Caenorhabditis elegans: one gene and its partner. The protein of the gene in region 1 interacts with the protein of each later gene in a pairwise test. Each region holds a gene or a part of one and is shown in the gene's direction. Other genes may lie near its edges. The genes, in order: prx-12 and emb-30.

Region 1 (13,288 bases):
CAGGCTAAACGCAAAGAAAATTTGGTTTTATGGGGCCTAATAGATATTTATGGGAAGATTGTAACGTTTTCAAAAGTGGAATAATGCCACATCCAAGATTTTTGAAAAAAAAAACAAAAATTAATACAAACTGAATGCATGTTCCCTGAAGATTAACACAATGAATTTGTTTTAAAATTTTAAAATTTAATATTGAACGTTCACATTAAAATGTATTTTAGATATGAAAATGGCAAAAGATTATTTTGAACTGTTTTATTATTTGTCACACATTCCGATTGTTCAAAATACATTATTAGCTTTATTTTGTGCAATTTTAGGATGTAGTTTATTTGATCATTTAACCCAGACTTCATTCCGGAGACTAGCGCGCTAAACCAATGAATCATTCATTATATTCCATTGGCTCCTCATTCATCACTTCCAGTCGGATGAATCACCTCTTTCCGCCAACTTTTTTCGGCTCTTTCCATGTGAAAGATATAAGGAAACAGAAACTTTATAAAAACAAGTGGACTGTGGCTAGTGTCGCAAGTGCAAATAATGACGATGTTAAGCGACTCGGAACTGGAATGCGTGGTGTTGGTAGTTGTGGTCAGCGATTGCAGTGCGCGTGTATAGCTCTTTTCTTTCATCCATTCAATCGGCGACAAAGTATCAGATTACGCATGTTTCGCAAAACCTAAGATTCATGCGTGAGAGCCGCGCTAAGAAGGGAAATGATTGAGTTGTTCAAGTGCCATGAAAAGTATTAGGGACAAGTCAAAAATAAGGAAATTTGAATTTGATGTACGGAACTATAGCGCGCTGGTGCGTATGCTTCATCAAGTTTGCCAATTTTCATATCATCCTTTAATGGACAAGGTTTTCAGGCTTGGCTAAAGTGAATACAAGGGACATTAAACGAGTATATATATATTTCTCTGTGCAAATCGATTCTAACAATTTTGAATGAATTCTTTGAATATGGCCATTTGAACTTTCTATCAAAACTGGTAGTTGCGCATGACATAACATGACATTTTTATCTTTTTCCACAATCTCCCAATCTTACATCTGTTTCCTAATTTATGAACAATTAAGAAAAAAACGAGAGAGAACAGTTTGAAAAGATGATAGCTCTTTTTCTCCTTCTCTTTAATTTTCTTGGTTCTCTGTTTTTCAAACAGCTATTTTGAAAATTTCTATCAAGAGCAATAGCATTAATTTTTACAATCAAAGACCAAAATGGGTAAAGAAATCGGAAAAGAAAAATGTTTGCATTTTACACAATGTGCGATCTTCGGGTGAATTGATTTAGGTTTAGGGTAGCCGGCGAGCACGAAAAAGCGAAAAGCAAAGAAACTATATTGTTGACTACCTAAGAGCACTTTTTCAACAGTCCAAAAGTGGAATCTTCAAAAAAGATAAAATAAAAATGAAAATACTTCAATGCGGAGATTAAACCAGTTTATTTTTTTCAGTGGATCGAATTTCAAAAAGGATGGATTGTACTGAGCGTCGGACTTGTTGCGATAAGTGTGCTCTTTGTGGTTTTTTATTTCTTCTACAAGTAAGAAACAACTAGTGAACTTTTACAAGAAAATCAATATTTTTTTTCAATTCTAGGTGCTGCGTGTGTATTTGCTCTCGATCCTCTAAAAAACAGAATACTGATGCAAGATATGACGGATGCAAACGAAGCATGTGCAATCTGTTGTTATTTGTACTGGTCAGTGCGAATGCGTAAGTTTCTAACCATTTTTATTAATTTTGAAGAGCATAAGAAAAGTTAAACACTATTTCTTTGACGCGTATGTATTAATTTTGATTACTTTCTAGGTTTGTTGCTTTTACCCTGTTAATGACAAGCCAATATGCTCAAATTGGTTTGGATAAGCTTCCAAATCGGATGAATCAATGTGTCGACGATTTGCAGTCATACAAAAGAGACAGTGATATGGTAATTTTTGTTGTTTTTAAATGGTTACTTGAATTTTATAATTACAGAGAATACGAAAGTTGCTCATCGATGATTACCAGGTCCTCAATTCAACCATTACCAAACAACTATCCACTGCCGGATATAATGTAGTGGACCGCGTCAAAAAACTGACTGGCGCACATGTCATTGACGTTTTCATGAACATTAGCAAAGGTAAGGTCATATTTATAATTACGAAATGTAAAAAAAAACACATCGGTATTTTTTAGTGGCGCAAGAAATGCACGATGGGTTGGAGTCAGTTCATGGAAAGGTCAGATTTCTAAACGAAGAAGGTTCACGGTTTGAAGTACTTATTAAAACTCTTATTCTCAGTTTAATTGTAATATTTTTAGGCTGAGTTCTCACGATTACGAAATACGGCTAATGAAGAGCTAGTCAAGTGTCTTGAAAATGAGCTCGAGCCGGTTAGAAGCATGTGTGCAAAAGCAGAACGACTCCTTGAGAGTCTCGCTGTCACTCAATTCAAAATTGACCAAGTGAGTTGTACTAAAGACGGGGCGTTTTCTATAATTAAAAAAAACAACACTTATTTTCAGAAATTCCTGCCCGATGCAACTGAGACCGGGCTTTCCGAAATTGTCAATGCGAATATTACTCAAGTACTCGCTGCATCCAACAATCAATTTGAGCAATTAGAGAGCAGAATACAACACGAAATTGACAAAGAAACATATTGTAAGACAATAACACTAGAAATGTTATACATTCATATATATTTTTAAGCCGCTCAAAATATGTTGAAACAAATCGGAGATGATCTGTTTCTGGTAGCTGAAACAATTTCGACTCAATTGCGCAAAGTAACATTTGAAGCTTTGTATAGCACTGTTTCTTATGTATCGGACCCTAAAAAAACACCAACTCTCAAATACATGCAATACAGGTAGGTCTTATCAGAAAGGTCTACAAATTTGATATTTATGATCTCAGTTTGAAAACTTCCTTTTTTGTTTTGTTTTTGTGAAACCAATTATTTGGTATTATTAGAATAATATTGCCAAATTTACAGCTGGTATGCGTCTCTTGTTATCACAAGTTTGTTTATTCTCCTGGCTCTCATTTTCCTATTTGGAGTTCTTTATGGAATATGTGGTCGACGTCCAACTTATTACAACGATGATTGTTGTGTAAGAAGCACTGGCGGAAAGTTTTATTCTTTGTAAGTTTTATATTACAATTAAATTAATCATAGGTTTAAATTTCAGTGGAATTGGGGCTTTTCTTCTTATCTTTGTCTTCCTGGCAGTGGGAACTTCTGCATTGATGTTTGCTGTTGGAAACTTCTCAAACTTGGTGTGCCAGCCCATGAGAAATCCCTTGAGCCATCCGGAATCGTTATCGGTTGGTTCATCTTTGTTCTCCCAAGTATAAAGATTTTTGCAGCTTGCTGATAGATATATCAATCTTTGGAAAGCAAATCACACACCTGAAAATGATATCGAGGTTACTCTTCAGTCGAAATCGCCGGCAGAAATTATTAGAGCGTGTTCAAGAAACGAGACGCTGTACAACTTTTATGGATTTGACAAAAAGTATCATTTGAACAAACTACAGGTACTAACAAAACTTATACATAGATATGTTAAATATAAATTTTGCAGGATTTTGAAAAAGATGCATACAACCAACTGCAAATTTCCTTGCGAACAACTATGGAAAATATGCCGGAAATTCGTCCGCTTGATGCATTCATTTCAAGAAGCGAACTTCGAGATTTGGAGAAACTCGCCTCAGTGAATGTTTCAAAAGTTAGCCAACAAGGCCTGAATGCGGTTTGTAGATTGGAAACATAATTGAGCAATTTTTAACTTTGAGTTTCAGATAAAGCATGCAATGGATGAACTCGACTTAGCATCCAAAACGCGGGAATTCGAGGAATCTCTAGACGCAAATTCGGGTCGTCCTAAGGCAGTGACTCTTGTTCTTGAACAAATCAGAGAGTTAGAGATTCAATTTGCGAAACCATTAAGGAGCAGATTAGAGGCATTGTACTCTAACATTACTTCACTCGATGAAAAGTGAAAATTCTTTAAATGTTGAATTCCTATAAAATACTTATTCCAGACTTTCTCAGCTTCAAGTTCCTGTTTCTTCTCTTCTTGTAAAGCTTCAGCATGCTCAGGCTTTACTGGCTGAAAACATGAGAGAGCATTTCGGTCGTGCAGCTAAAGAAGAATTCCAACAAATGGTTAACAACATCGACCAGTACATAGTTCATGTCAAAAGCCAGGTAATAACGCAAAAGTGTTTCAAAAAATTCTATAATTGCTTGACTTTTCAGATGGAGAGCGAGGTCACGTCATGTCAACCGTTGACACAAATTGCCCGGCAAACAACTGCTGCTGTTTGTGCTTACACAATTGATCCATATGTAAAAATGACACAAAAATTGGGGAACTGTTTTCAATTTATAATTTCAGAACGGGACATGGATGTGTATGCTGATCTGCCTAGTTCTGTTGATACCAATTGTGATAATTTCAAACTCATTAATAGGTTTATACTCTAAGATGCACGCGTTCCCAAAATAGTAAGTTTCACAATTTTATTTAAAGAAAAGTGTCACAATAACTTTAGCTTAGCCATTTTTTCGAAAAATAACCCTTAACTTTGCAATTTTGAATATAATTTTATATATTTCAGCATTGTGGAACCACCATCTGAAACACATCACATGTCATCGTTCATTACCGATACATATGACACTAGGCCTAAGCCGTAAGTTAGCATATTAATATCAATTGGAATATTTTTTGAAACTACACATTTTGAAATGATCTTTCAAATACTCGGTATCAGAAATAAAACGAGTTCAGTTTGAAACACAAAAACCAACAATAAAGATCAAAAAGTTGATGTAGCAAATTACCAACAAATACTGTTTTAGAAAAATTTTGCATTATTACAAATGCGACAAAAATGTTTAATGTTTGCCAGAACCCAAAAAATATTAAATAATGAAAAAGTAACAGCCCTGCTATTGAAATCTGGATATGAAAAATGTTCTAAATATAAATTCAAATGTTTCAAAAAACTATTTTTTTCAGTGGATACGCAAACTACACCTACACAGATGATTATCAACGTAATTATCGATGAAGAGCCTCAGAAAATGTATTATCACAATTGCGCCTACTTAATTAAAAAATGCATGTATTTATGTCGACAATTCAGTTGAAATTTTCTTTCATTTCATTTGATCGCACCTAGAATCTACGAGTATCATTTTCCCATTATTCATTTCTCCCAGTCCCATGTTCTTTTTCTTAAAATCTACTCAAGTGAACCGCTCAATTCTACGCACACAGTTTTTCTATTCAGTGCCATTTTTGCATTTCCGTTTTTTCCTCAAATTCGATCTTCAGTTGTTTGACTTTTTTTCAGTTTCCGTAACTTTTACTGATAGAATTATCATTTATGTGATGATTCCCCAATTGCGGTTCGTATTTGAATAAAAACATTAAACCACCCTCCACGTTGGTTCAGTTCTTCCAAAAGCGGATTGAAGTTGATAAGAGTTAAGATAAGAACAAATGTTGCGTGCAAACAATTCGTGATTTATTGTTTTTATATTTAAAATAATGTATATAGTTGTCCACGTTTTGGTGTCTCTTTAAAAAAATCATAAAGAACTAGCACGCACCGTAAAACTCACTACAAATAATTGAAAATCCCATTTATTTATTATTCATGCATTTATTAAAGAGTCGTTATTTTCATTGTATTTTGCATCAATAGATCTACAGTTAAGAAAAGCAAAGGTTACATTGTTGCAATTCTAACCCTCCACATTTCAATTACTATCTAATCGTGATAAGACAAGGACACACTACGTCGTAGTATGATACGGACAGTGTCCTCGCTCCTCCGGCAATCGATGGTCGTGTTCAATCATTTTCATATCTCTCCTTTTTTTTGGTTTTATTTGTAAATTTTAATGAGTATAATCTCAACAATTTCCTCTTATTTTTAACTGAAAAATTTAGGAAATAATGAGTACGACTATTCGTGCCTCGCAGCTGGCTTCGTCAATTTCTCCAAAAACTGAAGAAAAGCAGCCATCGGTTTTTGATATAATCGCTCAAGAAAATCTTGCAACATCAATCAGACCGGCTTTACAGCATCTTGTAAAAGTATGTTAAGAATAAAAGTGAAACGAATATTTGAAATTGAACATTTCAGTATCTAGCATTCTTCAAGCCAAAAACATTTCTTTCGGTTCACCGAAACTTTGATGAATACTACATCATATTCGATCTCATTTTGCAAAACCACTATTTGAGAAACTATGGTACGTTTTTTAATTCCAATTTTTCACCTAAAGATAATGTGTTTCAGGAGCGTCGTTCACGGAAAACTTTTATTCTATGAAGCGAATAGCATCAGGCACAGGAAATCCACCGAACGATGGTAGGGAAAGAATAATGTCGCTTATTACATTAGTCGGATGGCCTTATGTAGAGAATAAATTGAATCAGCTTTATGACAGGCTCAAGGAAGTTTACGAATGCAGAAGCTGGTCATCAATTAATGTATGTATAGACAAATAAATTTGAAATATCGTTTATAATTCCAGGGCATGAAAGCAAAGTGTCAAAAAATGTTTGTGATCATTTGGCCATACATCAAGACAGCTCTTAAGGCAGTGAAAAGTGCTCTACAACTTGCATACATTTTGAACCGCAGCTCCATTCACTCGCCATGGCTTTACTTCTCAGGCGTGATTCTGAAACATCTTACGCCAGAAGACTTGGAAGCTTTCAATGCTGTTCCTCTTCATCTCCAAACTGGGTATCAAATTTCTAGAGGAACATTAAACGAACATATTCATTTAAGATTCTTCAATCGCATCTGGAGATTTATTTTGGGACTACCTGGAATCGTTTCAAGGCTCTTTGCTTATGGGCTCTTCTTTGTACAGTTTTTGGATTATATGTACAACACAGATTTGGCAAAACTTACAAAGACTGGCCTTGACGGAGCTATTCCTTCACCTCCACACAAAATGATCATATCTGAATCGGAAATTTTGAGTTTGGACACCAATAAATGCCCAATTTGTTTGAAGAAAAGAGTTAATGATACTGCGCTTTTTGTATCTGGATATGTATTCTGCTACACATGTATCAACCAATACGTAAACACTTATAACAAGTGAGTTTTCTTTATTTTAAACTATCAATTATTTGAGAAAAATTTCAGATGTCCAGTGACAGGATGCCCGGCAAACGTTCAGCATTTAATCCGTTTGTTTGTATAGCGCTACAAATTTAATTTTGAATCATGTTACGACAAATAAAATTACAAAAATATTCATTTTTAAAACACGAGCAAATATTCCAGCAAATTCAACTTTTCGTTGTGTTGGGCATTGTACAAAAAACGCAAGTTTACAAATTATTCTCATCAATGACAATTGTTGGGACTTGATTTGTTGAATCGATGGTTTCACTAACATTTTTACTGCGTCTTAGACCCCTTCTTGGGTTAATTCTTGCGTTGGTTGCATCTTTCCGGATTGGACTTCTGATTACGTAGCTGAAAGTTCATTTATGAGTTCTTGATCAAAAATTCATCTGAAATAGAATTTAAAATCGTACACAATATCTCCGGACTCTAGTTCCAAATCTTGAGCAGGATTGATGATGACATATGAGATTTGCGACTTTTCATCGCTTCCTTCGAGCACTGAAATTTAAAATACAGTTCACCACGTCTAACCGCACCAAGAAAAATGATCACACTGAAGCAATTAGAATTAAACTTAAAGAATCTTCAACCTTATTATGAAATGAAATAAAAGTAAATAGTAAGTATTAAAGTAAGTTTTCTAATTTTATTTTGTCTGCTGGTTCACACCACTCTTCGGCTTATACCTGTTGATCTGCACCGGCTAGCATATTTCCAATTGACTAGAAAGGGTTTAAAAATAGAAAACTAATTCCGAATAAAACTTACAAGTATGAGTGTCTTTTATATTAAGAAGTCTCATTCGATTTTTCACATGATCATACATATCTTTGTTTCTTCCCATTTCAGTGTTTTCAAAATCTTTGCATTGTTCTTGAAGATCAAGGGATACCTGAAAATATTAAAAAAAAAAACAATTAGTCGATACTGAGCAGATTTGTGTTTACCGTCTTAGTGTCCATCTTTTTGGTTCTGAAAATACCGATAGGAATATCAGCCACAGAGGAGCATAGTTTTTGATACAATCGTCCATAATTCCGAATCCATAAGTCATCCGATGTGATAACAAACTGAAATATTTATCACATGAAGGTTCACTGCAATTAGTTTGATTGTACCGAAGTTAAATATCCGCCATCACTATGTTGATCAATTCCAAGAAGAAGTCTGACTAGATCAACCACAAACGGTTTGATAATAGCCTGAATATATTACGTTTGAATATGCGGAAATTAAAAAATTAACCTGATAAAGTAATCTATCCAGCATGTTAGCACTAAAAACACCTCCTTGTGCAAATGGTAGTCGGAACATGAACGGCATATGAGAGCCACGTTTTCGTTCCTTTTTTTCAAATCTGGATTGAGCCAATGAATAAGCATTATGTGGATTGAACTGCACGAATCGCATGTTTGTCGCATGCGTCAATTCAGTGATCATTCGAAGTCTTGGGAACATTCGATGAATCTTTTGAACTGTGATAATTGTGTTACAATCTGCAGTATGCTCCTCTGCCATTACAGCTGTCTCCTTGACAACAACCACATGCTCCGCACTGCTTACACCAGCTCGGAGAAGGCAATCCAAACTGTAAGATGATGTATACTTATTGACGAACATATTAATGAACATGATAATTGGTCATCACTGCAACTCCCGCCAGACATCCGAAATTCAAAGACGAGTAGTTTATTATTACATTAAACTAAGGAATAAATAAGTTAGTTCACAGAGTTCACGTTGTACGATCTTCTTAGCCACGTCGTGGGTCAATACACGTTGATACCCAACAATAATAGATAATTTATTTCATGTATTGTTGAATTAAATTTATAAAAACATTCACTTACTTTCCAACTTTTCCCTTCATCCAATAAACATCTGGGAAATATGAGATTGCATCCAAAAATGCATCATTCAACGAATCTTGCTCTTCCAACTCCAAAAGAATGATGATCGGATGTAAATCATGCACTGGTCTGTAGTATGCTCGAAGAGGAATAACTAAATTGTACATGCCACTGCTGGTTCTATCCGCCGCAAGAATAATTGGCCGATTTCTCCATTGGTACTCATGCGCAGAAGTAGCAGATTTATGAGCACATTTTTCATCAAGCTTTAGACAGCAAAGCGACCGACGCTCTTTCATCATGTGGCACACAGTATTAGATGTTCCAATGTATGTTCTCACTTGTGGGTAAGTACGCTGAAGTTTATGTTGTATGCAAGGTCCACGGCATTTGTCGCAAATCTCTTCTTGATCAGAATCGGACGAGCTGTCAATTTTCCCCTCAGTAACCATTGCAATTGACGGGCGACGACTAGATTGAACATGTTCTCCAACTTCAATTAAGTGGATCTCATCTGCAGCCTTTTCCTTCCTCTTCTTCTTTTTTCTGCCAACTAACTCGGTTTTGTCAGATCTTGGTACATCTACAGCTACCGTTCCAATATTTGCAATAGTTGATGCAACATTTGCACGTTTTTGCTGGCTTCGGATGCCTTTTCTAAAGTCTGTCAGTGACTCTTCATTGGTCAATCCCATATAATAAACTGTATCAGTTGGCTGAATGATGTGAGAAGATCCTGGGTTTAACTTCATACGTGAAGTGTCCCCATCCGGAGAAACGGCAATCAAACCGATTCCGTATCTGAAAAAGAAAATGCTGAAGTTGCAAATAAGTGATCAACTAACTCTTTATGCGCGTGGAAACTTGTGCTGCTAAATGACTTTCCGACATACTCACAGAAAAATTTGCTGTCTTGAACTTTAATCTGGTACATTTCGTTTCCAGAATGAAATCCATAGACTTTGTGCCACGGTTCGGTAGATTTCTGGCCTTCCCTAGAATGATGACATCATTAAAGATTTTATACGAAATTAAATAAACGTACTCTCCACGAGAGGTGTGCATTAAAAGTGTGATGAAAGTAGAAATTCCCGGGCAGATGCAATTGTTTGCAAGTAGAGCGTATTTAAATTCATCCTCACAAATTAAGACTTCTGAAAGAATGTATGTAATCATCGAGAAAGTAGTAAGAATCGTTTAAAGTTTAAAGAAATACTGCTAATTTTGAACCTATTTTTCTCTATTTTGAATAAGTTTTCTTCGTGGAGTCATACCTGCGTGCTCAATATGCATCTTGGTTTCTGCTCTGAATATTTGCACGTATTGCTTGACATTTGGAGCAAAATCTTTAATAGCCCATGACCGAAGAATTGTGTGTTCATCTGTGGCCACTTTTCTGTTGACATGTCTTGCAGACAAAATGAAGCAAGCTTTTGATGTTGCTACGTTGGCTCTGAAAATTCAATTACCGACGGAAGAACGAAAACAAAAATTGAAACCTCTCCAAGTCTTCATCTCTTAAAGAGCTTCCACGAACGTAATGAACCCGGTTATTCCAAAGAGGAATTTTCAAAAGCATTCGTGTCTGGTTGTCTAATTCAGCTGGCGACAACAAAACAATTTGAATTCTCTGAAGAACAAAAATTATTTTAGAACTGGTGTGTTACTGAAATACCTGGTTTTCGGGGTGGGCGTAGAATTCTTCCAAGAAATCACGAATGAATTCAACTTCCAAAGTAGTGATTGTCACAACAACATGAGATTCCACTCCATTCCAACTACTAAAGTCAGTTCCAGATTTCTGACGTTCAGACCATGTTTGTCCCAGTTCGTCTAGTTGTTTTGGAATCAATCCCAATGCAACGCAAATCAAAATGACAACGCATAATTGTGAAGCCCAATAGTCTGGATACCAGTCACCATAGCCAACTGTAGAGAATGTGACCATTACAAAGTAGAAAGATGTGAAGAGATCAATTCTTTTTCCACGAGCACGTTGCAAATGTTCAATGCTACACATTCCGGTAAAAATGAGGCAAGCCAGAACTGAGAACAAGAGTAAAAGTTGACGAAATAGAGCAGAGGAGCTTATAAAAGATTTTCTATTGAGATCGTTCTGAAAAAATAATGAACTTTGACACTTCCCAGTAGGCAATGCCTCACCATCATAGCTTGAAGAGCACCTTTGGCAAGCCAGCAGTTGAGAAACACCGGAACGTATAAGTAGGTTAAGCTGGGAATAAAAATCAGAAAAAAATTAATGATTAATTGTTCGTTGATAAAATAAAATAACAAACCGATATTATGAATGGGAAACTTGTGATGAGTTCCAGTAAGAAATGAATATTGATGAGCAGTCTAACTACACTTCCCTGAAATTAAAATGTGCTTTTTGTAAAGTAGTGTTTTGAAACGACTTACCGAATAACTGAGATAAAACACCAAAATAGTGTAAACCATACTAATGCAAGCAAACATTGTTTGTAGAAACCAAATTTTGAAATCGAAGTCTACCCATAGTAAGTATTTACTGAAAATGTTGTTTTCAATTTTCTGGCGAGATATAAATTCTGAACAAAGTTATTCTCAATTTTCTACTAATTAGTATTCATTTTAATTATTTTGTAATAACTGCATAAACTGAAATTTAACTTTTTTGATATACAGGTATGCTGAATAAATTCAGTTTAAAAAAAAGGTATCATAAACGTACATGTGTGAAGAAGAATCTATATTGAAATGTTTGAAAACTATAATTACTTTTTTTCTAAACTTGGAATGATACTTTTCTAAATCATTCAATTAGTGGAAAATTGGGGTCCTTAACACCGAATGTTGAATGTAATTTTTCAAACATTTAATTTAAAAAATTTTCAAAATTTTCTTTTCAAAATTTCAGAAAAAAATCGACTCACTAAAGTGTGACATCTTGTTTTCCAGCTTCTTCTTCCGAAAATGGAAAGTCATCAGGATATGATCTTTCGTCATTGACGACACGAATACAATATAATATACATGTTAATAGTTTGATCAACACATTGCAGGATCTTATTCGAGCACCTGAACAAGATTTTGCCCTTATTATTTTATTATTTTTATTTGAAAATTGAAACTCACTGATACTGGGGTTTTCTATGAACCATTGCTGAAGTTTGTGCTTGATGTTCTTTTTTTCGCCATACTGCATCCGAGCACTGAAAATAAATTGGAATAAAAGACAGAAATACTGAGAAAAACAATAGTGTTACCACAACCACAGCACCAATTTTTTCTTCCAGTAGTAATCTGATAAACCTACCCCATTTCTTGCCTTGGAAGGTGTTTTCTTTCTTTTTTCACAGAGACAATTTTCTAGAGCATGTGTGCTCAGAAGCGAAAAGAGCTCAGAAAAGACGAATGTAGTAACGAAAAACGGAAGAGCAAAAAGAAGGAGCTCTTCGTCAATTTTTTATAGGATGCTTTTTTCAAAAAAAAATTTAGTTCACTTTGGGAATGCTCAAGAATTCATACTCTTTGGACTTTATTGCGATGCATAAAATTCAAGCTGGAAAACTCACAATGTTTTTCTAACTGTCGCTCTAAATCTGCTCATTTTCGATTTTAGTCTAAAAGTCCGGAAATAAAGTGAATAACATTCCAAGAAAAGCTCCAAATGCTTCCAACTAGCTTTAACTCCGGCCAAAAAAAAAGAGTACAGCAAATGAGTAGAAATGTGTGGCCAAAACGGAGGAAGACGTGCTCTCAATGTCTTTTTTAACGTACTCAAAAGAAATAGGGGGGTTTCAATTCATTTTTAGACGGAGGAGTCAGGCTATTGTTAATGAGTTGCGTGAAAACTTGCTTTTCAGAAAAAGAAATCTACAATTAAACGGTAATTCAATTACACGCAATTACTTATTTCTTTTGACATATTTGATTTACATATCGAAAAACGCACGTGCCAGGAAGTTCTCAATTTTAGGAGAAATTAGGTTTTTTAAATGGTTTTTTTGCGATCATTGTGATTATTTAAAACAATGAATAATATTTTTTGCTACATTAACAAAAGTGTACAGAAACTGAACAAAATTTGACTTGACTTTTGTGATTTTTTGATTTTTATGCAAATTCCTTGACTATGAAAAAACAAAGTAATGCTTTATTTTTTGCCAGGTATGTAAATTCGTTCAACTTTTAAAAAAGTAAGTTTTTTTTCGAAATCATTATTTAATTCATTTTAACTTACACATGTTTATTTGGTATTCTATAATCGGATGGCAAT
Region 2 (17,458 bases), on another chromosome or scaffold:
ATCTATCCATCATCCTTCGTCTAAATATTTACATTTTGCCGCCTTGCTTTACTTACAAAATTCCTGTCCGCTTTTTTCCGTTTCCGCATAATATTCATAATCGGCAAACAGATTAATACATTTTGACATGGAATTATTAACAATTTCCCTTGTTTCTAATAAGCTTCCGCCATTATAATTTCTTCTTTCTAATAAGAAATTTAGAATTTCTAACTTTCCAAATTCTAACCAAACGCATGAAATATTTCAGCATGGTCTCCAGTCTCACCTCTGTCTTCCGTAATAGAAATCAAAATCCGGAGAAAAAATCAAAGGACAAGAAAGGAGGTAAGTAGACATCTGTTATCTCTGTTATTTTTAGTTTTGTCAAAAAAAATTGTCGGTTGGCAAAATATGTGCTGTTTTTTCTTCGATAGACTTTTTGGAGGTTTTTTTTTGACAAATATAAAAGTGGTGTTTTGTCAGTGGGGATTTTGAAAAAAAAATTCACATTAAAAAATTAAATTTTTTTTAAAATTAATGTATTCTGAACATTTTGGGCTCAATGTTTCTTAAATGCATTTTTAGAGCTCCCAACACATAGTGTTTCCAATGTTATACCCAATCAATAATAGCAAGTCAATAAACTACCTCTACACTATTTCTGGTAATAGGCGAAACCTCTACACTGTCAGTCACTTTGTAAGGTGTGCCTATATATTTCCATAATATTTCATACAAATTGTTCTTCCGAGAACATATACTAAAATTGGAACAATACAGAGAAGATTAGCATGGCCCCTGCGCAAGGATGACACGCAAATTCGTGAAGCGTTCCAAATTTTTTGACTAATTTCTGACATAGAGTTTTACATATATCTTCTCTGTATTGTTTCAATTTTAGTATATGTTCTCGAAAGAAATACTCTTAAAATAATCTAATTTTACCAAGAGCCATAATTCAACACTTCAAAAAGTTAGTAGTTGTTCTAAATTGTCAGCTACATTTTTGGCGAATTGCCAAATTTCTGAAAAAATAGTTTATAGATTTGTTGCCAACTAATTTCTGAATTTTGATCTACCGTAATGCTTATAACATATGGAGCGCCAGTGGGAAAACTGTTGGAAACGCTGTAATAGTGCTAACATGACCAAACAACATAGTGAAAGAGACACCACGAATTCAAGATCTGGCCGAATTACGGTTTCCGGATTTGACACTGTTCCAGATCCGGAAATCTACCAGATCTTGAATCCGTGGTGTCTCTAGTGAAACTTTTCATAAAAACTTTTATTGTAGTGTTGTAAACATATGAGAGTGCTTAAGCTACTCAAAAATACCCATTTTCCCGTAAATTTGGAAATATACCAGAAAAAATTTTTCAAAAGCCAAATCATTTTCGAGTCACGATAATTGGTAATTTTGGATTAATAATGTATTTAGACAACTTTCTTACTGCCGCCACTCCATCTTAAAATACAAAGTTTATACGAAAACTGCATGTTTCAAAACTGATTGGAATCTTTTTGAAATCTGTGCATAAAAGTCAGTACAAAACCAATCAAAAGTAGAAGATATTTCAAAGCTCATCCATCAGAAGAGCTCATCCAGAAGACGTTTCTCTTTTCCTATCTACGTCATCATCTAACACGTTCTCAACATCTTTACGCTCTCCTTGTCTCGTATACTCTATAGGTTTTCATGGCTTATTCTGGCATGGTGCCAATTTTTCTGTGCTCTTCGGGTTCACTGCTCCCGTTGCTTCTCCCTCCAACAGAACTCATCTTTGTGTTGTTACTTTCTTTGTACTTCTGAGATAGTTTTTTGGAAAGTTTTATGAAAAGGAGAGAATTGAGAAAAGGCAGCAGCAGCAACCTGAGAAATACTGTGCGTATGTTTTGTTTGACAATTTCCTACTCTTCTTATGCGGTGTGTCTCAATTGTAAATAGAGCGAAAAAGAGCAGGAGAACAACTCAAACTCATGTGAGATGTTTCAGTTTCGACGAGCAGCGAAGAGCAACCTACTACTCCCGCCATGGTTCTCGTTCCAACTGTAACTATTCAAGTATGTCAAAACTATATTTTTCAAGTAAAAAAATATAGCAACGAATTTTTTGTAACTTTGTTTATTAATTCAACTCTCAAATTAATAAAGCTCAAATTTTTTGAATTAAATATAAATTAAAATATATTTCGTTGTTATAAATACAATATTCCTAAACTGTATTCATCTTCCTAACTAATTTATGTATTACAGGAAGCACCAAAAGTGGTCGAAATCCCAACAAATGGGCTCCCAGAGCCTACACCCTCTAGCTCAGTTGTGCAAGAAATTGAAATTCTGGCTCCAAATGAGGACGAAGTGAAGGAGGAAAAACCATCGGATTGTACTACTTGCAAGAAAATTGAGAACTTTGTGATGCCTTATTACGAGAGTTTGAAAGCAAAGTATCAACAATTTGTCGTTCGTATTTCGGATCCAGCACTTCATGCAACTATACGCTCCGAGTTTGCGTAAGTTTTTTGGATACATTTTCTGGAATGTAAAATTTTCTTACAATTCTAAACAATAATACCAGAAATTAGTCAAAAAATTTGGAACGCTTCACGAATTTGCGTGTCATCCTTGCGCAGGGGCCATGCTAATCTTCTCTGTATTGTTCCAATTTTAGTATATGTTCTCGGAAGAACAATTTGTATGAAATATTATGGAAATACATAGGCACACCTTACAAAGTGACTGACAGTGTAGAGGTTTCGCCTATTACCAGAAATAGTGTAGAGGTAGTTTATTGACTTGCTATTATTGATTGGGTATAACATTGGAAACACTATGTGTTGGGAGCTCTTAAAATGCTGTCATTAACAATTTGACTCAAAACAGTCCAAAATATCTAAAATATCATGATTTTGAAACCTCGAATATTGTTCAAAATTTTGTTAATGCTTCCAGTCACATTTTTGGTAATTTGCCAAATTATAAAAACATTTGGGTTCCCTTCTGATATGGGTGCTCTCTAGAAAAAATAGTCATTAATATGCAGAACGGTGTTAAGTACACATGACCAAATCCCATAATAAAAAGCTCAACATTTTTGTCAGATATTTTTTTAAACATATTCAGTTAACGTATTCGTAATTTGCTAAAATTTTTGGAAGATTTCGCCTTTTGGAAATTGTTTGGGCAAAGTTGCCTATTTGAACCCCCTACACTAATAATAGACAAAATCTATAATAATTAATATACTTTCAAAACATTTGTTCATTCCAAAAAAGTTAAATTCCAATAATTTATTCTAATAATTTTCAGTGAATACTTCCCGAGTGTCCTTCTGGGCTTTGCAATTTTCTTCTTCGGAATCACATTTATTTCCTTTATCAAACTTTTGCGTGGTGTTTCTACACAACCATCATTCTTCTGTAGATACTTCTCCGGACCATTCTCACCATTGTTTGATGCTCTTTGTGAGCCGGATCCATATGTTTTGTCTGAAGAGTTACCAAAAGTTATGAGTGGATTGCTTGATGAAATGTTTATAAGTAAGTTAGATTTTATTTCGTTTACAGTAATCTCATGGCATTTTCAGCAATCTCCGAATTCTTCCAAACAATTTCAAAAGGTTTCACTGTGTTTGGAACTTTGTTCACTGCAATTTGGCATGGATTGTCCGAAAATGTACGTTTCATAAAAAGTAAAGCACACGTCAATAATGCATCGTGAAGTTCCAATTCTAGAAGTTGAGATTTTGCCGCTCCAGTCCTTTCTAGATTAAAAAAGTAATCCTTGAAAATCACATTAATGTGCTCAAATAACCTAATAAAACGTTTAACATTTTGCTGGATTTTTTCTAGTTTTACTAAAGCCCAACATTTCCAACAGTTTGGCAATTTCGCAAAACTTTTATTAAAATACTCAAAACCAACCAAATATGAAACTTTTATTATAATATTCGGACATGTAGACCTATTGTAAGTGTATCTCTCCCAATTTCAAATTTCAGGTCTTCTTTGGATTCCATGAGCTTGGAGAAAACCTCGGAGAAAACATAAACCACCTTCTACATTTTGTTGTTCAATTTTTCCATCAAATTATTCATTTAATTCTCAGTTCAATTGCAACTATTGCAGGGGCCATTGCCGGAGTTTTCACTTCTGTACATGATTATTTAGAGCCTCCACAAAATGTGTGGTAAGATCCTATTTGGAAATAACGATCACATTTTTTTCACAAAGTTCTAAAAAAAGTTCATAATGGAATAAAGTGTTGTGAAAAAAATGAAATAGTTTTTCCCAATAGTATCCATATTAGTTAAATATTTGTTAATTCCAGATTAGCCATCATATTATCCCTTGTCACATTTAGTCTTGCACCTCAAGATTCCAATTTTTCAGTTTGTATCACGATTTGTTTAATTTTAAACTGGAAAATAAGAGATAAACAATGCCCGAGATTTAAAAAAATTGAGTAATTATTGAGGTGCAAGAAACTAGAGATAATATTTAATAACCTCACTAGTGTGACAATTTGAAATTCTGTAGTCTTTTTTCCTGATAATCTTTTAAATTGCCTGAAGAAAGCCATCCCGCATGAATCCCTTGCATTTACTAACCTGTGTATTCTCCCCCATTCATCTTTCAGTTTTTCACTTCTTCAGGAATCATTTATTACAACAATTCTGATTCTCATCTGATTACAGACCGAACTCCTTCTAATTTGTACATATTTCTTATTTTCTTATGCATAAATTACTACTTGATCCAAATAAAATGTTCTTATAATTTTAATTTTTGTTCTTTGTCAATACTCAACGTAACGAATTGTATTTTAGATTTAACAGACTAGAACTATGCTTGTCGCAAACAACTTAAGTTCAAACTCCCGCTCGTTTTTCTTTAAAGGCGCACTGCATTCCTATTGTGCGATATCTCACCACGACAGCTGGCAGCCAAGTTTCGCGCCGTCTCGCACTCTCTCACGCGCAATCGATTGGCAAGCGGCTGCTGTCTCTGCCGCAATTCGTAATTCGCACTCTTTCTGTGACACAAAATTTATCGATTTGTGGTCGCTTCGAAAGTAAGCCGAGTTCGACATCATCTGAAGTCACTGCCCGACGTCTTCTTTCTCCGAAAATTCAAGTCCCGGACGGCAATATTTGGCAATTTCTACTCGACTATTCAGCACGCGTATCAAACCCAATCCATACTTTTCCGTTTGTTTTCGTCTTGCCCTTTTGAGTAAAAATGGTGCGCGTGTGCCGAGTAGTCCCTAAAGAGTGAGCATTTCATTATTTTTGTTTATTATTGGTCTTGTTTGAAGCTTTTCTTGGAGACTGCCAGATCAGAAGGCCAGATAAACTCCATGAAACGCTGTTTGGATTTGGCATTGATATATTTTTTATATTTTCGATAACATTTGTGGTCATTGCATTGATTCTCCGTTTCACTACCGCCTATATTCCTTCGTCTCGTTTTAAATATAAAGAAATTAGGAACATGCGTGTATGTTGGCGGTTGAGAGAGCAGTTGAAATGATTTGAATGAGAAAATTTCAAAAACCACTGCAGTCGCTGCCCTACACGATTTCAGTTAGGTGTGAGCGATTAAAACTTGTTATTGCTTTACATGTTTTAACCTCAAGTTTCATGTTTTATTTTCAGCTGGTCTAAATTTCAACCGGTTGGCAATGTCATTCCACGAACCCGATTCATTGTTTTCAAGACACCAATCAACAGTCAGTTATCCACGAAAATTCATAAAGAGCAGAGATTCACAACAAATGATTTATTTCGACAGGTAAACTGGACACATTGTTTTCCCTACATAACAATATTTTGTTTCAGTTATCGGAACGTGGTCAGTACCTTGGATTAGTGGTCGACTTATCAGACACGGACAGATACTATGATAAAAAGGATATTACTGGCATGTGTGTACAATATGAGAAAGTCAACTGTCCTGGGAGAGGGTAAATCACCAGATACCGTATTGAAACTAATAAAATTAACTTCCAGGTTTATCGAAAGAGATGATTGCGTTGAGTCCTTCCATCAAGTAATTCAAGATTATACTGACAAATGCGACGATCCAGATGCTTTGATTGGAGTACACTGCACTAATGGTATTAATCGATGTGGCTATCTGATCTGCCGTTTTTTGATTGACCGGCTTGGATGGAGTTCACATGAAGCAATTGACGCATTCGAACAAGCCAGAGGATATTCGATTGAAAAGGGAGCATATGTGATGGCTTTGCACAAGGCTGCTAAAGACAAGCGAGATAAACAAGTGGATTCGGATTCCGACTCGTCTGAGCGCCAAAGAAAGAAGAAGAATAAGAGAAAACACCGTGAAATTGTGGAACATGAAAATATTGTGCTCATTAATACAATTATTGGCGAGTTGGGAAGTCAAGCTGCCAGCGTATCTGGAACCGACTATCAAAATTCACCAAACGGAGTATCCGTGGACCCAGGACAACCACAACCGCACCACTGGGGATTCGCTATCAAGGTAATAGAGTATCACATCTTTATATTCACCAAGTAATTTTTTGCAGAGATCGAAATACGCTCAACTCAATCAACCTGTTGCAAACGGAGCCAATACACCACCTGAGCCGTCAGAAGGAACACCACAAGAAGAAGAAGAGTTCGAGGAAGACTTTGAAGAGATTGAAGAAGAGACGGAAACAGAACCAGGAAAAGGGCAATCAGTATCATCTAAAAGACGTGCACGAAGGAATAGAATGCAAAAGTACATGCAGGTTATGCAACGCGGAAGATTCCATGAAATTCAAGCTATTCGAGAAGAGGTCGCATTAAGTCACGGCAGTGCCAGAGATTAGGAGGCAGTGCTTCGTTCTTCTATTAAATTTTTTAGACTTTGTGAATCATTTTGCTCAATCATTTTCGTCTCCACAATGTTCTCCCTGTTCAACTTTTGATCTTTTATCGTTCCACTCTTGTACCTGACTTTAAACGTGCACTACGCACATTATTCATATTGTTATAATTAATCAATTTTTATGAACTTTGTGATAATTCCATTTTGTGTGTTGTGTTCTTTCAAATTTCTAGGACTTGAATATTGAATACCTGTTCGAGCTACGGACCAGGCACCCCTACTATCGATTCTTCATTTCAGATGGACTTTTCAATAGTCAAAACTCAAATTCTCAATAATAGGCGGACATTCCGCACACCATTCAAAGTGTCGAGTATGTGTTTCAGTTCGCAAAATGATCTCATCGCTCTTGGATCGAAAACTGGCGAAATATTGTTGAAAAGAACATCATGGAAAATGATTTGGAAGGTAACAGGAAGATTTCAAAAATATTATCAAATCAGGATATTTCAGACCAATATCAATATGATTCAAGCTGTCGGAACCGAATGTAAATTGGACAGCTCTGTTTCTGCATTGCACTTTTCACCGGATGGACGCTTTCTCGCAGCAGCTACAAGTAAAGGCATAATACATTTGTTAGATGTGGAAACGGGAAAAGTTCGATTTTCAGTCAAGTAAGAGATCTATATAATAGTTCGAAATATCTATTGAAATTCAGAGCTGCATCCGAAAAAATCGCCAAACTCCACTGGAATTGTGTTCGTGAGAAGCCATTTATAAGCAATCTTGGAGAATTCACTACAAGAATCAAAAGTAAGAATGTTTTATTCTATCAAAAAACAGAAGTAATCTTTCCTATTATTTCTTGTACGAGTAGAATCCGTCACCAGTTTTTCTTCCAAGTTTTCCCTCGGCAACCAGCTTATCTACCAATGGACTTGCTTCGAATAGTTGTACTTCTGGATACTTTGCTGCCCATCCATCCATGACGAATTTGACCGTGTCGAGACCAATGTAGTCGGCCAGCTCGAATGGTCCCATTGGATGTCCTGCTCCCAACTTCATGGCTTCATCGATGTCCTGAAACGATATTTGGAGTTTTTAGAAAGCTGAAAATCAACATACGGTCATTGATGCATCTCCTCGTTCATACATTCTCGCTGCTTCGAAAAAGTATGGAATAAGCAGACGATTGACAATGAATCCAGGACTATCCTTACAAGCGACTGTTGTTTTTCCAACAGCTGTTCCAAACTTGATCAGCGTTGCATATGTTTCATCCGAAGTGTCATCAGATCGAATTACCTCGAGAAGCTTCATAACTGGCACCGGATTGAAGAAGTGGAGTCCTCCGAAGCGAGTTTTATCTTGCAATCCTTTGGCGACATCCTCAAGAAGGAACGATGAAGTGTTCGTGGTCAAAATCGAATCCTTCTTGCAAGACTGCTCGATTTGGGCAAAGATTCCCCGCTTCAAATCGATGTTCTCAATGGCGGCTTCGATGATCAGATCGGCATCAGCAACGGCGGTTGACACATTGTTACACGTTTTGATACGTGACATTGTGAGAGTCACGAAATCCGACTTTTCCTGGAAAAAACAAGAATGAGAATCTTCAAACAATTACGATATATACCTTATCAGTTCCTTTTTGCTTTTTTGAAAGATGCGTCACACTTTGACTAATTGCCTTCATCGCTCTATCAAGTGCTTTTTTATTAACATCGGCCAGCATCACATTGAATCCACTACTCGCCGTAACTTGAGCTATTCCCGATCCCATCTGCCCTGATCCAACGATCGCCACGTTTCTGATGTTTTGCATGGCACACTTTGCTGTGAACATCATCTGAAATTAATTCTAATTAGAGACTCCTTAATCAATATCGAAAATTTCAGATGTTGAAGCCATCGAAGGAGCTATCGAATTGGCAGAAACGACACCGAACATCAGTCAAGAGGAAATCGCATTCGTATACCAGAGGCTTGATGAGGTAAGAAACTAACCTTGATGATATGATCGACGTGTTTTGCAACAAACAATTGAGAGAAATAATTGATTTTTCAATCAAATTCGACCATATCAGATCTACTGACGTGGTATTTTCCGTGGAATTGTTTAATTAATTTCACATGAACTATTCGAAATTAAAATTTGAAAAAATCGACAGAATCTGACTTTTTTCAATGAAAAAAAAACTGTTCCTCAATAATTTTGTTTCAGGATGGTTCATCTTTCAAACACGAAGATGCACATAAAGAAAGTCTCGAGCGAACTCTGATTTCAACTGAAACATTCCGTGAATCTCTTCAAAATACGATCCTTCTAGCAACTGATGACATGGATTCGAAGATTATTGTACTTGTTGCTGGTGTGTTCCCATATATGGAAATTGATATCAGTGACACACTTCTACAATACAATCAAAGCCTTCTCATGCTCTACGATATGCACTACAGTTCAGCGTTTGGTGGCGTATCATTTCTCGCCACTACATATGGGCCATTTCTGGACTGCAAACAAAATGAGTTGAAGCCTCCTGGAGCTGAACCAAAAAAAGATGGCCAAGGATGTCATACGCTGCTTTTCAATGTTAAATTGAATATTAATTCGTCGCTTTGGGATACTGCGCTGAGGTAAGCTTTTGAATTTCTGCGATAAGCTCGAACAATTTACTTTTAAAAATAAATTTAGATACATTCGCCTTCTATTTGGCTTCAACTTGTACAGCATTTCTCTGGAAACTACAAAACGAAATTGGGAAGAGCAAATAGACAATCTTCACTCATTATTCGATACAAAAACGAAAGCTGTAAAAATTGGAAATGTGCTTCTCGAAATGCTGCTCTCCGGGTCGACAGATGCGGCTGGCGAGGCATTTCTTGAACGAGGTCTCGGAACTGATGGATTGGATAAAATTGAGCTTTTTGCAACGAAGCACATGCCGTATGTAATATTACCTGAAATGTTGCGATTTTTGGGTGAAGGTCTCGACACGACAATTTTTGTTAAATGCAAAGAGATGAGCGCCTTTAAAGAACACAGCGGAATTTTAATTGATTTTTTAAAAAGTTTTTCCTTAAGAAATTTTTTAATTAAAACAAAAAAATTTAAACAAATCATGAAAAAAACTTGAGCAAACCCGATATGTAAGTGTGATTACAGTACTCTTTAAAGGTACACACCATTTTCGCATTTAACAAAAACTCGTCGTTTCGAGACCCGTTACGGTAGTTTTGTCGTAAAAAGCGCAACATTTCGCAACTGGAATATATTATTTGTTACTAATTTTAATCGGTTTTCAGGGAAGTTTGTCGTATTGCTCGGGGACAACTCTCAACGTCAGCCCGAAATTTGTGCTTCCAGCGATGTGAATTCTCGACATCATTATCTCGTTATGCAAAGTTTATTCAATTGAAAGATGACGACAGTTTTCTTTATGATGAGGATCCGCCAGCATACCTGTCAGAATCGAATATTTGGCTGAACACTTTGGAAGAGAAAATCAATATTCTTGATATGAAAACTCGTCATCTTGGAATTCAATGCTTGACTATGATGTAAGAAATCTGACGATCTAGATGTAGACAATAATGATAATTTAAAAAAACCAAATTTCAGGCAAGAACTTGGACATCTCGTCAAATGGATATCCATGACAAAACCATTTGCAAAAACGATGAAAGTTAATGCTTTGATGAAAATAAAAAGAATGAACATTGCAAAAATTCTGCTTGTAAGCCATTTATATCCTTTACTTTTATACAGTACACTTTTTTCAGTACATTGTGAGAAATTTCATTCCGGATCCAGAAGCAGTGAAAGATATCGAAAACAGACTTTTCAACCTCAAGGAGTTGGTTTCGAAGCAAAAGAAAAAAGATTTGGAAGACAAGTTTGATGAGGTTGAATATCTCTATAGACTTGAGAGAATTGCCGAAGTTGAAAGGAAGAAATTAATCGAAACGTATGTTTTGTAACATGACTTCTAAATTTTTGAAGTATTCTGAAACTCAGAATTTTTTTGCGGAAAATTATTGAGATATTTGGAATCAGGATGCCAAAAACCCCTATAATCCCCAGATTTGTTGGAAACACCCGAGGCATCGTGTTTGCTACTGGATCATAAGATTCCCGAAAAAACCTCAAAAATCAAGAACTTTAAGAATTTTGGTGTAAAATTTAAAAAAAAATCTCTGAAGCTCTTACAGCAGTTTTCAATTTTTTATATTCACCAAGATAATAGATTTATTGACACCCTGATATCAAATACCACAATAATTTTCTACCAAAAATTATTATTTTTCAAATATATTCCAATTTCAATTTGTAATTTATATATTTTCAGATTCCACGAAAAGTTCCGATTTGCCGATCTAGATGATGACGACTTGACTCCATTGCTTTTTCAAGAATTGGATCATCCTATTGACATTTTTACTGATAGTATGATGGAACAAAATGATTCTTCCCCGTTTCTTGAAGAAGACGAAGGAGAGCCAGAGCAAGAAGAGCAAAAACCGGATGAGGAGCCTGAACCAGAAGGAGAACCACAACCTGCATGTGATTTGGATAGAGTTGGCTCATTTTTCGAGAAAGAGTTGTCACAAAAAGCGCTAGAAGTTCTTCCAAAATGCGATGAAACATTCGATTGTGTTCTGAATGAAAGAGGAAGTCGTATGAATTCAATAGAGATTCAGAAAATGGGGTGAGAAATTGGAAGTTGACTAGTATAATTTTATATTCAATTTTTTAGAATTCTACGGGTCCTTGAAGATTTGGCTGCCACACTATCTTCTCCTCAGAAAATTCATTGTGATAAAGCTGGAAATCAGAAAAAGTTGGAAGTTTCATTCATTTATGAAATTACTTCAACACCTACCCATCAAGGATATCAAGACGCAAAGATCAGCAGTGTCACTCCATCATATTACAAAAGACATCCATTTAATCAATTATCTGGAATGGGGTAATCTTTTCATTAAAAGCCAAATATTTTTGACTATTGCTTATTTCTAATTTCAGACGATCAATTCAAGTGTCTGTGCTTCAAAAGAATGAATTCAGCTCAATCGTCATTGTACCAACGAGTGATGTATTGCCTGAAGATGAAAATGAAGTGAACGATCATGTTGAGAAGCTGAAGAGATGCTATGAGTTTGAGGTATTTTATATATAAAAGTTTTCACATTTAAATAAGCTTTTTTTTTTAGAAAATTGATGTCACAGTTGATAAATCGAGCGCCGAGAATAGACCACCAGGGGAAACTGATGCAATGGAAGTGGATAGTAACGAGCTGAGAATTGATGTGGATCTTGGACCAGTGGTTTGTTTGCGGATAATTTTAATTATGAAAAACACGAAAAACATCACAAAAATGCTTTAAAAAATTTTAATTTTCGGTTTTCCCGTCAATACCTAACGAGACCCAATCATTGGGGGCGGAGCGTTCTCATTTTTTTTTGAAAGTGGAGCACTGTTGCGCCTCGATTTAAAAAACAAAATTTTTAAACGTATTTTTTTCAGGTACCTGAGTACGATACTCTCATCGAATTGAGTCAAGTTCACCCCCTTCATCATGGAGAACTTGTTTTATTGGTATTTTGATTAGTAATTACTATGATTCCACAAAATCACATTTTTCAGGGAAAATTCACATCCGCACAGGAAGGAACTGGCGTGATGTCACAAATGATGCGATCAATATCTTCATATCCTCATGAAATCCCAGAAGATAAAGATGTATTTGCAAAGAATAGCTCTGAAGATGGAAGTTCAGAAATTCCAATCGAAACCTTAATAATTCATCCAACAATTCAACTGGCTGCCTATCTTCACGATGACGGAAGTAAAATCACGATTGGAGACATGAAACCAGAGGTTCCACCGATCGCTGACTATGAGGAGAAGACTGTTCGAAAAACTTTCCGCGACTATCAGAGACGTCGAGAACGATATCGGGAAGATATGGGAGTAATGAACATGAATGATGTTCAGTATGATGTTCTTGTTCAAGAAGCTATGGATAGTGGACGTGACTTGACGGATAATGGAGAATCAGATGAGGATGAAGAAGATGATGACATTTAGTTTCCAATCGATGGATAAATTATTGCATTTCTATGTTTATATTTCGTATTACTTTGAAATTATTTCTCCTTTCCAATCTATTGCATTTCTTTTCTTGGCTTTCCCTCTTACAATCTCATTTTGCTTTTTGCGGGCACCTATAAACGTGTTTTTAGTCAAAACTCGTTTCTTCTAGTTTTAGTTTGATGCAAATGTAAGGCTTGAGTTTCAAAGTTTTCAAGTTTTCAATAATTCATCTTTATTTTTTATAATCAGGAAGCTGATATCTTACGAGGGCGTAGAAAAAAACGTCGCTTGAAAACAAGGTGCAAGTAATAATTTAAATTTTAAAAAAATCTGAAAAGTCCTACATTCAAATTGATTGCAAAACTACAACTTTCCAAAAAAATTAAGAATTTTCGCCTAAGATTTACTCATTTTCTAGAACTAAATTCCTTTTTAACAAGAGGTTTCAATTTCAGGGCAATTTATCACTGGGCCAAACAGATTCTGTCAGACATTGTGCAAAGATGCTGCGAAGGAGTCTATCATAAGCTTCGAGCTATTCATACTCGAACAAGTGATTAAATACAATAAATTCATTTTCATGCAATAAATTTTTACAATATAAATAAATAAACAATTTACAGTTAGTGATTAGTATTGCAAATTTTTTAATCAGAGATTTGGAAGGCAAAGACGGCGGTAAAGCTGCACGTCTGTAGTCGTCAGTGTGGCACGTTTGGAATGGGCGGAAATGAGTGATGAACCATCGAACATTTGGACCAACAGTGCTTCCGATGCTTCCTGAAGAGCATTGATGGCGTCAGAACGAATGCGAAGGTCTGAGGAAAATGGAGTGGAAGTCTGCATAATTTCGCGGACGAGGCGTGCGAACGGAGCCTGAAATTTGGAATTGTTTAAATGTGGAATGTAGTAAAAAATATATACCTTTGGAATCAGAAGGTCTTCAGATTCTTGGTATTTGCGAATCTCTTCCAATGCCTTCTGGCCCGGTCTATAACGTCTCGTTTTCGAGATTCTGTTCCTTCCGGCTATCATCCGCACGCGATCGGAGCTCGATGAACCAGCTCTACTTCCATTTCTGCCATTTGTACCATCCGTGTCATTACGATTCCCCACATTTATTGGTGACTGATGGTGACTGTTGGCTGCCGTGATTTCTTCATCGGAGCTATCGTGTCGACGGTGTGAGGGCATATCATGACGGCCGTGGGAGTAATCGACAAGATTAGTTGAATTACTGCCGACCTGAAACAAATATTATGTTGTTTGAAATTTCTCACACAAATTTGAAACTAACCGTAATATCCACAGAAGGAGCTCTTCTTCGAGCTTGCTCTAAGTCGTTGAATCCAACAGCCTCAAGGTCGTTCTTATACTGATCCAGAAGAGCGATAAGGTCAGCGTATCCTGTGGCGCTTGTGTTGAAGCCCGGCACTGAAGTGACTCTGAAACACCATACATTAATTTGTAGCACGAAAACAAAAATAATTACCTTTGTGTGTCATGTTGGAGACGTTGCATGATCCTTGCCACCCTCCCATTCTTCTCGGCAATTTCCTCAATAATTGGTCCGTCATCGGCCATTGTTCGAAGATTATCCTGTTAAAATATAAAATTTAAAAAACTGAAGCTAAATTAAGACAATTTGTTTGAAGGTTAAAAGGAATTAAAGAAGCAATAAAAACGAACGCAGTTTAAATAAGGAACGATTGGCGGCAGGAGAACCATTGAAATACGAAAATGGCAAAACATATTTCCGGTGAAAATAATCTGAGAGTCACAAAATCAGCAAAAATTAGAAAATTCTGGAAGAAAAATCAAATTTTCGCACTTTGAAAAGAAAATGCGCAAGTAACACGAGAGATGCGCCAGCCATTTCCGCTTGCGCGGAAGACGATTATCAAAGTAGGTCTAGAAATAATACTTTTAGCTAAACAGGGAACAGGGCTGTTGCAAAAAATAATTTCCGCCCAAAAAACAAAAAACAAAAAAGCGAATTTTTCAAAAAAACCAAAAAGAAATCAAATTTTGATTTCAAACGGAACAAAACGGAAATTTTTCTTGAAATATTCTGTTGATCTTTCATAAAATAATAAAAATTGAATGAACGGAAGGTTTTTTGTTCTTCTTTGTTTATTTGTTGAATCAGTGTTGTAATTTATTTTTTGGTCTTTTTGGTTCCAGAAAACCGGGGAACATTTTAAAGAGACGAACTGTTGAAACTCACGAGTCGATATATATATATATATAAGTACTTCGGTGAGAGAAAATAATTTTTGTATTTAGACCTCAAACGATATATGAAAATTCAGTTCAATTAGGTTACAAAGACACTTTTGAATTCGAAATTCTATTAATTTAAAGGTTGAAGTTGAGTGTTAAAATGAATGTAGGAGCCCAAGCTGAGTTTGGCATTTTCGCTTTATCAAAAATATAAGAAAAAGGATCATAGTAATTTACCGTATTTCCTATATCAGTCTTGCATGCAAGATTTTATTCATACTGCCCTGTTTTGGTAAATTACCAAAAAGTGCGTGGTACATTCGTTTAACACTTCACTTCAACGTTTAAATGAATAGAATTTCAAAGTCAAAAGTCTCTTGGTAACCTAGTTGAAATAAAATTTCATATTCCTAGGGTTTGGACACATTTTTAATTTTACTTACTATTGAGAAAAGATAGGAGTTTCACTTTGAAAAAAAATCACCAAATTTAGAGCCACCTCTTGTTAAAAAGTAATTTAGTTCTAGGAAATGAGTAAATCTTAGTAAATTAGTAAATGAGCCGTTCGATAGTAAACGAGCGGAAGTGAAAACATTAGTAAATGAGCGTCAAAGTAAATGAGCCACCGTTAGTAAATGAGGATTTGGCTTCTCAAATCTCTTTACCTGTATTAACCGAAAAAAGTAAGTTCATGTTCTGAATAAATTTGTCGCTTGAACAATCTTCTTTTTGACCTCGACAGACTGGAATTCTGGAAACCTGAATTATTACTAAAATTTTACGTTCCTAACCGTGTAGCTTGAAGGCTTATTAGTTCCTCCAACCAATGCTAAAAAGTCAGAAGCCGTATTGTATTCATTGCTGATTCATTTAATTTTCTATTATTAAATGACATTTTGAGTCTTCTCAATCTCCCCTGAAAAGCCAATAATAACACATTTCAAGCGTATTCTTTATTAATTGAAAACTAGATGACCATCGAACAGGTAATGTACGTGCGAAGCTAATCTTGTGGTAGATACTAAATATGATTATGGATAAACCGTTTTTAAACTATACATTTAGATTTAGCAAAAATTTGTTCAAGAAGAAGCACCTCATAGACATTTCCTAATTTGTATATTTACTATGATGCTCATTATGAGATCACTTTTTTTGGAGATTTTTTGCTTTGAGATTGCTTTGACGGAAGTTTGAACGTAGGCGTACTCTGCGTGTCTGCAGAAGATCTGAATTTCCGCTTCGATTCGCCATTTGATGGATCGTATACGGAAAATGTAATCCAAATAGGGTAATAAGACGCTAACTTGCTTTGTAATTATGTCTGGAAAAAATAACTTTGACGAAAAATAATACAACAGTCTGAAATTAAGTTTACATAGCCGCCCGGAATAGTCCTGTTAGATTAAAACATTTTGTGTTAAATTTAGTTACAGTAACCATTGTTTTTGGTTTCTATCAGTGTTTTTTTCGAATTATAATTATAATTTTCTCACCACTTTTCTAATAAGTCACTGTTCATTTCGTTTCTTACTAATCATTAATATTTGAAAAAAGTTCACTTGATCATACTTTTTCTGATACATGGAAAAATTGAAATATCAGAAATATCAGTAAATTGTTGCCAAAATACAAGGTTGTGAAAAGTGTAAAACCCGATATTTAGGGAGATCACTGAACTCAAAAACTAAGATTCAGTTTCGAATTGGTTAAAGCCAAATGAAATAAAAAATGGGCTTCTGAAAAATTTAAATTCTAAATGATCAAAATAGTATTCGATAGAGAATTTTTTTTAATATTACGGGTACATTTTTGGACCTAGAATTTAAATTTTAGCCGCGCTCGCTAGAGGCGTTTTTTGTGTTCAATTTATTTTTGACAGGCATATGACTGCTCGAAATTATAAAAAAAAGTTGTGTTATTTTGGCAGAATCGAACTCCTATGCCTTATCAACATTTTGGAAAAAAATGTAGCTGAAAGCTTTTAGGTTCAAAGTTCGGACCAGTTTTCAAAATTTTTAAGCACCATATAAATTTTGAGATTTATCAACCTCAGAAACGGTTCATTTCAAATTTTTTTTCAGTTTAGATACAATATAGGCTAAGCTTACAATGAATTTTTTCTGATGGTTTTTTTTTCGTCAGCTTGACTGATACATCGTCTTAAAAACAACGATCAAACATTTGAAGTATGCAATCAGAAAGAAGGTGGTAATTTGCGAATTATCGAAGTACGCAAGTTTTTTGATGATTGCTGTAATCCAATTCCGAATTGTGTGTTTTTTATTCATTCAGCACAATTCTGTTTTG

The links.
Region 2: the proteins of prx-12 (region 1) and emb-30 interact in a two-hybrid assay, tested with the Caenorhabditis elegans proteins (one large-scale study listed by BioGRID).

The regions. Positions count from the first base shown.
Region 1 is NC_003284.9:11,387,322-11,400,609, forward strand, and holds prx-12 (Peroxisome assembly protein 12), read left to right. Parts: upstream 1-5,971; 5' UTR 5,972-5,979; coding exon 5,980-6,120; intron 6,121-6,169; coding exon 6,170-6,278; intron 6,279-6,325; coding exon 6,326-6,519; intron 6,520-6,563; coding exon 6,564-6,778; intron 6,779-6,823; coding exon 6,824-7,141; intron 7,142-7,189; coding exon 7,190-7,247; 3' UTR 7,248-7,298; downstream 7,299-13,288. Other genes in the region: prmn-1 (PRoMiNin (5-transmembrane domain glycoprotein) homolog), read left to right, coding at 1,464-1,552, 1,609-1,725, 1,822-1,942, 1,990-2,137, 2,194-2,273, 2,320-2,463, 2,524-2,662, 2,711-2,870 and 10 more; slo-2 (RCK N-terminal domain-containing protein), read right to left, coding at 7,378-7,525, 7,588-7,675, 7,946-8,069, 8,125-8,247, 8,296-8,379, 8,423-8,765, 9,028-9,828, 9,873-10,022 and 9 more. UniProt on the Caenorhabditis elegans protein: Component of a retrotranslocation channel required for peroxisome organization by mediating export of the PEX5/prx-5 receptor from peroxisomes to the cytosol, thereby promoting PEX5/prx-5 recycling.
Region 2 is NC_003281.10:9,431,125-9,448,582, reverse strand, and holds emb-30 (Abnormal embryogenesis protein 30), read left to right. Parts: upstream 1-7,122; 5' UTR 7,123-7,124; coding exon 7,125-7,292; intron 7,293-7,337; coding exon 7,338-7,501; intron 7,502-7,545; coding exon 7,546-7,640; exon of another isoform or gene 7,641-7,685; coding exon of another isoform or gene 7,686-7,907; intron 7,908-7,952; coding exon of another isoform or gene 7,953-8,417; intron 8,418-8,463; coding exon of another isoform or gene 8,464-8,673; exon of another isoform or gene 8,674-8,676; intron 8,677-8,726; coding exon 8,727-8,821; intron 8,822-8,834; exon of another isoform or gene 8,835-8,884; intron 8,885-9,051; coding exon 9,052-9,464; intron 9,465-9,522; coding exon 9,523-9,774; intron 9,775-10,133; coding exon 10,134-10,388; intron 10,389-10,449; coding exon 10,450-10,564; intron 10,565-10,610; coding exon 10,611-10,795; intron 10,796-11,176; coding exon 11,177-11,536; intron 11,537-11,584; coding exon 11,585-11,797; intron 11,798-11,853; coding exon 11,854-11,992; intron 11,993-12,041; coding exon 12,042-12,155; intron 12,156-12,355; coding exon 12,356-12,427; intron 12,428-12,475; coding exon 12,476-12,919; and 2 more. Other genes in the region: F54C8.6 (uncharacterized protein), read left to right, coding at 1,979-2,046, 2,239-2,495, 3,292-3,521, 3,569-3,657, 3,983-4,174; putative tyrosine-protein phosphatase pir-2, read left to right, coding at 5,223-5,254, 5,639-5,774, 5,822-5,946, 5,993-6,491, 6,538-6,825; putative 3-hydroxyacyl-CoA dehydrogenase F54C8.1, read right to left, coding at 7,686-7,907, 7,953-8,417, 8,464-8,673; Histone H3-like centromeric protein cpar-1, read right to left, coding at 13,577-13,801, 13,850-14,170, 14,223-14,370, 14,418-14,509. UniProt on the Caenorhabditis elegans protein: Probable component of the anaphase promoting complex/cyclosome (APC/C), a cell cycle-regulated E3 ubiquitin ligase that controls progression through mitosis and the G1 phase of the cell cycle.